Linked DNA regions of Oryctolagus cuniculus. Each later gene encodes a partner of the first gene's protein in a complex. Links are inferred from orthologs where the notes say so. Each region holds a gene or a part of one and is shown in the gene's direction. Other genes may lie near its edges.

Evidence for each region.
Region 2: the proteins of RANBP9 (region 1) and glucose-induced degradation protein 4 homolog are in contact, whole or in part, in a cryo-EM structure (PDB 7NSC), measured with the Homo sapiens proteins. The link is inferred for Oryctolagus cuniculus from reciprocal best matches to the Homo sapiens genes RANBP9 and GID4. Residues at the interface, in NP_005484.2 of Homo sapiens: Ser223, Lys224, Gly225, Arg226, Asp227, Gly228, Tyr229, Met230, Gly256, Asp257, Thr274, Phe275, Thr276, Thr277; in NP_076957.3 of Homo sapiens: Leu187, Arg189, Asp194, Glu195, Asn216, Asp218.

The regions. Positions count from the first base shown.
Region 1 is NC_091436.1:157,009,321-157,013,855, forward strand, and holds part of RANBP9 (ran-binding protein 9), read left to right. Parts: intron 1-871; coding exon 872-1,023; intron 1,024-4,535. UniProt on the Homo sapiens protein: May act as scaffolding protein, and as adapter protein to couple membrane receptors to intracellular signaling pathways. Acts as a mediator of cell spreading and actin cytoskeleton rearrangement.
Region 2 is NC_091448.1:66,462,747-66,467,281, reverse strand, and holds part of glucose-induced degradation protein 4 homolog, read left to right. Parts: intron 1-1,309; coding exon 1,310-1,411; intron 1,412-2,998; coding exon 2,999-3,129; intron 3,130-4,535.

The DNA.
Region 1 (4,535 bases):
CTGAGCAGTGACGTGATAGTTGTCACTCAAGATGTATAGCACAATTCTTTTCTAAAACCAGGATAGTTATTTTGATTATTATAATGTGTTATAATAATCTGTGTTTCTATTGGAATCATTTAGCCTCTCTTAGCTTCCAGGAACACTTTACTCCACCTCTGTTATATGTCAGTTAAAACAGCCTGAGAGGCAGTTACTACCTTCTCTCTTTTTCTTTGTTAATTTTGCTTAGTGTGGTTTTATTTTTTAATTTTTATTTTAAGATTTACTTATTTACTTGAGAGGCAGAGTTATAGAGAGAGGGAGAGACAGAGAGGTTTTCTATCCTCTGGTCCACTTCCCCAAATGGCCATAATGGCTGGAGCTGAGCCGATCTGAAGCCAGGAGCTTCCTCCAGATCTCCCACGTGGGTGCAGGGGCCCAAGCACCTGGGCCATCCTCCGCTGCTTTCCTAGACCACGAGCAGGGAGCTGGATCAGAAGAGGAGCAGCCGGGATTCGAGCTGGCAGCATACAGATGGATGCCTAGCCTACCATGGCACAGCGCCGGCCCCTCTTCATGTGGTTTTAGAGACTGGCCCCTGCCTCTTGGTGACACTCGTGAGACACTGGGTCCATCCTGACACTGCACGGGTAGCCCTGCCTCTGGGCTGCGCGCAGCACCCTGGATCCCAGACTCCCGAGCTCTGGATCCAGTGTGATGATTAGCTGCAGAGTTCCCTGCTCGGTTGAGCACGAGTCTGTGTGTGTAGGTGACATGTTGGGGAGTGCTTACTGACTGGGAGGTCTAAAATGGATCAGAAATGTGTGTTCATTTCTTACGTGTGTTCCATTCCATAAAGTAGTGAAGCACTTCTTTGTTTGGTTTGCAGAAGTTGACTCAAACCAGTTAAGACGCCAGTTATGTGGCGGAAGTCAGGCTGCCATTGAAAGAATGATCCACTTTGGAAGAGAGCTGCAAGCCATGAGTGAACAGCTGAGGAGGGAGTGTGGCAAGAACACAGCGAACAAGAAGATGTTGAAGGTGAGTGTTTCCCCGGCAAGAGCGGAAGGCGTCAGAGGAACAGGAGCACGCTCGTGTGAGGACGTCGGGATGTGCTAGCAGCTCTTGCTGTGGTCTTGGGCCGGCCGCTCCCTGTCCCCTGTGAGAGGGCCGGCTTGAGGGGTCGAAGCTGTGCTCCACTGGAAGGAGCATTTGACCCAACCAAAAAAAAACTAAATCCTGTTCCGTTACTTATCAGTGTTGTGGACCCTTTAATTCTTAGTTTTATTTTCTCAGCTGTAAACTGGTATAGTTAGTAGAACTCTGAGTGTACTGGTAAAGCTACACATTTGAGGTATTTGTATAATTTTAGTAAAAATGGTTAGTGCGTCTTCCGTGGCCGAGGCGGGGAGAGGTAGTCAGTCACCACATTCAGTGCTTCCTCTGCCGTGGAGCGCACGCTGAGATGGCATGCCTGGTGTCTGTGTATGTGGGGATTAGAATAGGCGAAAAGACACGCTGCCGTCTTCTGGCTGGATGGGCGTGATCAGGTCAGGTGAGATGTGAACAGTTCCCACGATTTGAGTGTTGTTCGGGCATCAGGAGTTTCCTCCTAACGTAAGTCAGCATGCAGGTAGCTGTAGAGAAGTTATAACCCTTTAAAAGTCGATTTGTTACAAAAGAAGCAAAAACTAGGAGTGGGTGACAGGTGTTGTGATCCTGAGGCACAGGGAATGGGAGGAAAGGGCACGCACGGCACCTGAGCCGAGGTCAGGAGAGCGGGGAGCGCCCGCCGGTGCCCTCGGCCTAAGGGGGGGGGGGGCTGCCCCCCCGCGTCTGCTCTCGGCTGGGGGGGGGGGTGTAATCACCACGTTCAGTTTAGCACAACAGCTGCTGTTTCTAATGGTGAAGCTGAGCTATCAAAGAAAGGCTGAGCTGTGCGTTCTGTGCCAAATGAAAAAGAATTAATGAAATAGTTTGTCGTTTAAAAGGGCAAATCAGATATTCATGTATCAGGAAATTTCCTTAAGGTCAAACTGTTGTTTTTTTTAAAGATCTGTTTATTTGAAAGGCAGAATTAGAAACAAGAGGGTCCTATAGGGTGATGTAGCGGCTAAGGCCGCCGCCTGCAGTGCTGACATCCCATTTGGGTGTTGGTTTGTGTCCCAGCTGCTCCACTTCTGATCCAGCTCTCTGCTGTGGCCTGGGAAAGCAGCGGAAGATGGCCCAAGTGCTTGGGCCCCTGCACCCCCATGGGAGAGCTGGAAGAGGCTCCTGGCCTTGGATCGGCACATCTTCGGCCATTGCAGCCAATTTGAGGGTGAACCAGCGGATGGAAGACCTCCCCCTTCCCCTCTTCTCCCCCTCTCGCCTCTCTGTGACTCTCCCTTTCAAATAAATAAATGTATCTTAAAAAAAGAACAACGAAACGAGAAATCTTCCATCTGCTGGGTCACTCCCCAAATACCCACAACAGCCAGCGCTGTGGAGGCCAAAGCCAGGAACCTCAGCTGAGTCTCCCACATTGATGGCAGGGACTCAAGCACTTGGGCCCTCTTCCACTGCTCTCCCAGGAGCATTAGCAGGCAGCTGGGACTAGAACTGGTTCCAGTATGGGACGCTGGCATTGCAGGCCGTGGCTTAACCTACTGTGCCACAGTGCTGGCCCTAGACTGTACTTAACAGTCTCCCCCGTGTAGATCTTTCTCTGAAGTATGTATCTCCAGTGTACAGCATCAGATAGAATACGCTTATCAAATTCATTTGTAAAGTATTACTAGTTTTTCCAAATTAAAGATTTTGATCACTGTGTAACTCTGTAGAACTTTTCTCTAGTATCAGGAAGAAAAAACTTAACACTTGGGTTCTTTATTATTTTAGGAGACTAGAATGATCCCTTTGGGAAACTCAGTACTTCTTTGTTATGTTCTGAGCATACTTTAGGGCAGTGATTCTCAAATATTTTGGTGTCTGAAACCTCTAAAAATTGATTCCCAAAGAGTTTTTGTTAAATGGTTTACATTTATTGATACCGCATTAGAAATTAAAACTTGTGATGGGTATTTGCCCTAGTGGTTAAGACACCTGTGTCTCGTGTTGAAGAGTGAATTTGGCCTGCGGCACCGGCACCCCGGGTTCTAGTCCAGGTTGGAGCGCCGGATTCTGTCCCGGTTGCCCCTCTTCCTGTCCAGCTCTCTGCTGTGGCCTGGGAAGGCAGTGGAGGATGGCCCAAGTGCTTGGGCCCTGCACCCGCATGGGAGACCAGGCGGAGCACCTGGCTCCTGGCTTCAGATCTTCATTGGAGATGAACCAACGGAAAAGGAAGACCTTTCTCTCTCTCTCTCTCACTGTTCACTCTGCCTGTCAAAAAAAAAAAAAAAGAATTTGAATCCTGGCTGTGCTCCCAGCCCCAGCTTCCTGCAGATGTGTACTGTGGGAGGCAGCAGCGGGTGTACTGAAGGAGCTGAGTCCTTGTACCCATGTGGGAGACCTGGATGGAGTTCGTGGCTGGGCTTTGGCCTGGCCCAACCCTGGCCATTGTGGGCATTTGAGGAGTGAACCAGCAGATCGGAGTTCTGTCTGCCACTCAAATAAGTGAATAAACAAAAATTAAGAAAAAGTTAAAATTCTAAAATCTTTAATTCATCCCAAACTAAATCCATTAAACCACCAATATGTAATGATCTTCCCCCAAAATAAAAGAGCAGCAGCATTGTTTCATATTTTTGCACATCTTTTTAAAAAGATTTACTTGTTTGAAAGGCAGAGTTAGGAGAGGGAGAGATTGAGAGAGAGAGACGGATCTTTCATCCACTGGTGGTTCATTCCCCAAATGGCTACAGCAGCCAAGGCTGGGCCAGGCTGAAAACAGGAGCTTGGAACTTCATCTGGGTTCCCTTGTGGGTGGGAAGAGTCCAAGTCTCTCTGCTACTTTGCCAGGCGCATTCCCAAGGAGCTGGATTGGAAGTGGAGCAGCCATGACTGGAACCAGCACCCATCTGGGATGCCAGTGGTGGCTTAACCTGCTGGGCCATGCTACCAGCCCCTGCTTGGCTCCATAGACGATCAGCTGGACTCTGGTTCCTACTTCTGCGTTCAGTTGTGAGATCACATAGCCTCTGGGAAAGCCCACTGTGTAGTTATGAGGGAATGAAAGTGAGGAAGAAGGGAAAGCTTAGTAGTATTATAAAAATAGTGTTGACCTCACAGACCCCAGGAAGGATCCTGCACTACCCAGGGGCCCCTGGCCCTACTTTGAGGAATTGTTTTAGAGGATATTGGGGAATATGAATGTTTCAACCATCGATTTTGGTTTTCTTGTTAAAATTTTATGCTGAGCAAGGTGAAGAAATCTGTGACTTAAGTAGTACCTTTGAACATTGAAGATCTAACTCTGTCAGCTTATTCTTTGATTCTCATTCGTATATAACTCAGAAAATGATGTTACAGGGCCAGTTCTCAAAGGTACTCCTTGATTAAACACCAAAGTATGTGAACGTATGATGTTGTAATTTAAGAATGCAGATGGCTTCGAGTGTGCATCTCTGACAGCT
Region 2 (4,535 bases), on another chromosome or scaffold:
CAGGGCGCCAGATTCTGTCCCGGTTGCCCCTCTTCCAGGCCAGCTCTCTGCTGTGGCCCGGGAGTGCAGTGGAGGATGGCCCAAGTGCTTGGGCCGTGCACCCCATGGGAGACCAGGAGAAGCACCTGGCTCCTGCCATCAGATCAGTGCGGTGCACTGGCCATGGCGGCCATTGGAGGGTGAACCAACGGCAAAAAAGGAAGACCTTTTTCTCTCTCTCTTTCTCTCACTGTCCACTCTGCCTGTCCAAAAAAAAAAAAAAAACTATATAACAAGAACTACAACTTAAATCTGTTTTTTATGTAAGATGTTTTCTTAGGAAATTAATACGTGCTGATTTTTAAAGATTTTAAAAAATATAAAAGCAAGAGGAAAAAATACCATCTGTGGTGACAGTACCTACAGCTAAAACAGTGATTGACCTCTGCCTGAGTCGCCTTTGAGATACGTACATACAGACACATACATATACACACTTTTTTTTTCTTTTTTAAAAAAATAGGATCAAAAGATAACGGTTTTGTTTTGTTTTGTCATCATTTACTCAACTTGAAACATAGAAGTGACCCAAAAGAGATCCTGCAGCCGCTGGTTCACTCCCCAAATGACCCCCAGCAGCCAGGCTGGGCCAGGCCGCAGCCAGGAGCCAGGAGCCCCGCCTGGTGCTTGGGCTGCCCTCAGCTACCTCCCAGGCTGCACTGTTAGCAGGGGGCTTGGTCAGAGCTGAAGGCGGGACTAACACTTGGCACTCTGATGCCGGGCAGGGGCGGGGCATCCCAAACAGCAGCCTAGCCCACTGCACCCCAGTGCCCACCCCAGAAGGGTAGATAGAGGTTTGCACGCTATTTCTAGTCTCCTTTTGTGGCTTAGCCAGTTTCTAGCTTAAGGCGCTGGCCCAAACGCCCCTACTGCCGTGGGGGACTGTGCTCCGCCGGCCCTCACCTGGGGCTGGCAGGCTCCCAACTCCTCCGCCTGGCTCTTTGCTCTACGGATTACTTACAGAGGGCTCCTCTTTATTGTTCTTAGCCTGCGTCTGTCTGTGCGGAGGTGCTCTGGGCATGCGTCCCTCCTAGTCCTTTGGCCCATTGCTGGCCGCGCTCACGGGCTGGAGTCCAGTGCTCTGCCCCTGAGTGCAGGGCTGCGGCAGCGGCTGGAGGGTCTGACCCAGGCTCCCTGGCCATTACTGGGCTTTAGCCACCCCATCAGGAGCCAAGGCTGCAGCTGGCAAGGCTGTGACCAGGTGGGCACCCTGGGCGCCCGCAGCCAGCTCAGACACCAGGGCCCATCACCATCCTCTTTTTGCTTCCAGGGCAAGTTTCTGGCTTTTTACCAGTACGCAAAATCATTTAATTCAGATGACTTCGATTATGAAGAGCTGAAGAATGGAGATTATGTCTTTATGCGATGGAAGGTGAGTTCCCCCTCCCCCAGCCCGTGATCTCTGATGCCTCCTGTGGGCCAGCGCTGGTATTGCACCCCACACGCCTGCTCTGCCCCAGGGCGTGCTCTGGTGGAGTGCTGGGTCTCCCATGGCTCTGGTTAGTGGTTGGCTGGTGAACGGTCCTGGGTGCACGTGCTGACACTGTTGCATCTTCATCCTCCCCTGCTCTCACCCCAGGAATCCCTTTGAGCCTGCAGGCTGAATCACCCACGTGCACTGTAGATTTGGGGTGGAGCCAGACGTTTCTCTGAGTGTAGTCACCCATTGGACCGCCTTAATGCCATCGGAGTGACTGCTCCCCCCCCCCCCCCCCCGGCCTCGCCACATCCTTTCCCCGGGGCCCTCTGCTCCCCTCCAGCTCAGGAAGTGAGGGACCAGGAATGGAATGTGGGTTTTCCACTCAGCCGCCCTCGGAGCGCTCCGTGTCGGCGCGGCCGTCGCCTGAGAAGTGGCTCTGTGCCCCCTGCCTGGGTAAGCGCGGTCAAGGCTGGGAAGCAAGCTTGTGAAGCTGCACGCAGCTCCCGCTCCTCCTGCTCCCGACCGGGGGGGAACTCGGAGGCCTCACCAGCTCTCGGGCCTGCACCTCAACCAGGGTCCTCATGCACGCCTCCTCTGGGAGAGGGCAGGAGCGTCACTCAGGCCGTCCGTGTTGCCGGGCACAGAGTCCATGCCCAGCCTGCCCCTGTCTAGTGGGACGTGTGCCCGCTGAACCTGTTCAGGGAAGTTTCTTGTGCTCATTTTAAGAACAATTTTTGAAAACTACAATTTTTAGAGGCTGAATAGGGAGGGAGCTGAGGGTCTTAGAATTTTTAAATGGCAATGGAATTGTTCTGTGTCCGAAGGATTTCTTAGGATGACCGACCTGTGGGCCGTGGGCCGTTAACAGCCCCCCCTCCCCCCCCCCCCCGAGGCCTGGGGCCTCCAGCCTTTCTGTCCAAGAGAGCAGGAACCGGGACACAGGCTTTCTGCTGGGCTCCGGCCGGAAACCCACACTCGCCTCTTCTGGAGTGCCCAGAGAGGGTGTCCGCAGGGCTGCTGGCAACCCAGCCACCCTGAGAATAAGCTGCAGGCCCGCAGGTGATGGGAACCTGGCCCTTCCAGGCCGTTCCGTCCGTGCTCTCTGAAGACAGCGGGCAGGCGCTGGTGTTCCCAGTGTTTGGTACTTGTTTGTTTTAAGGTTGTTTATTCGAAAGGCAGAGCTACAGAGAGAGAGAGCTCTTCCACCCACTGGCTCACTCCCCAGTGGCTGCAGCAGGCAGGGCTGGGCCAGCCTGAATGCCGGAGCCCGGAGCCCTATCCGGGTCTCCCACATGGGTGGCAGGGGCCCAGGCCTCAGGCCATCCTCTGGCGACTCCCCAGGCACATTAGCAGGGGACAGGAGACGGTACCCTTTGAGTGGCTGATTCGCGTGAACTCGCGGTGCAGCTTGCCGCCAGAGACCACGTGCTCGTGTTTTTTCTCTTGCGTGTGTTCAGAGCGCCCCGGTGCTGAGCAGGGCGGCACCGGGAGCGGCAGAGGACGCTGCTTGCTAACGGCCCGGCCTTTGTCTGCCTGCAGGAGCAGTTCCTGGTCCCAGACCACACGATCAAAGACATCAGCGGTGCTTCCTTTGCCGGCTTCTACTACATCTGCTTTCAGAAGTCGGCTGCCTCCATAGAGGGCTACTACTACCATCGGAGCTCAGAATGGTGAGGCCCCATGGGCCGGGGGTTCCCGCTGGAGGTTGGCTGACCCCCTCACCCCTCCCCCACCCCCAGCTCTCCCCGGCTCATCAAACCCAAAGGAAAAATCTCGGCCCGTGTCTGCGTAGGCTTTGCACTTTATCTGCATGTCGCAGGCCTGTCGCCGTGACCTCAGGGGCTCCTAACGGGCTCGTCCCTCCGCACAGAGCAGAGCAGGCAGGACCGAGAGGCAGAGTCGGGGGAAGGGACTCGTCTCCGACCCCCTGCTGGATGTCCAGCAGGGCTCCGCTCGCTCTCGCTGGCTCCTGTTCTCACTCTTCCCAGGTTGAATTTGTAACTAAGATGTGCTCTAAGCCGGTGTGGGCAGCAGGAAGGGGGTGCCAGCCGCCTCTGTAATTCTGCAGCTCTGTTTTGGGACGTGGGTCCTGCACGCCCCTGCTGTCATGTGAGGCCCTGGTTGACAGCCTCCCCTGTGTCTCAGCCAGGGAAAAGGACAGAGCCCTGAAGTGCTGACCTTTGCCACCTTTTGGGAGACCTTGGTAGCCTCCCTGCTGCACTTTTTTTTTTTTTAAATTGATTGATTGATTTGCAAGGCAGAGTTACAGAGAGGCAGAGGCAGAGGCAGAGAGAGAGAGGGGTCTTCTATCTGCTGGTTCACTCCCCAAATGGCCACAGCGGCAGGAGCTGGGCCAATCAAGAGCCAGGGGCCTCTTCTGGGTGCAGGGGCCCAAGGACTTGGCCCATCTTCCACTGTTTTCCCAGGCCATAGCAGAGAGCTGGATCAGAAGAGGAGCAGCCGGGTCTCGAACCGGCGCCCATATGGGATGCTGGCACTGCAGGCGGTGGCTTTACCCACTACACCACAGCACCAGCCCCCTTCTTGCTGTACTTTCAAGCACCTAGCTGTCCCTAGGGATTGAACCCCTATCCTGAAGCACCTGAAACGTGTGTTGATCCCTTGAGTCGAGTCCCTGAGAGGGCTGTGGTTTCAATGTGAGAAAACACTGCATTTCTCAGCGTAGCCCGTGGTCCCTGGGAACACACTTCGAACTTAACAGAGACTGTGTCCTAAGTTTTGGGTCATACACATGGCCCCCAGCTTGAGGTGAACTTGCCAGAAAAGGGAAATTAACACAGTGCCAGGGGCCTGGTCTTCGTGTCGACGTCACGAACCCAGCGCTACAAGGCTTCTCCCGTTAGCAAGTAGCACTTAACAAAGCGCACCCACGGCCCGAGGTGCACTTGCCGCGAGGCTGAGGGTGGGGGCGCTTTCTCACCCTTCAGGGCCTCCTCTCGATCTCCATGCTCGGCGGCAGCCAGGTCGCACCTGCGAGTAATGAGTGTGTCGGGCTTGCAGCGACTGTGCGGTTCTCGAGCGAGCGTTAAAGCTTGCCCTAGCCCCTTCTCAGAAA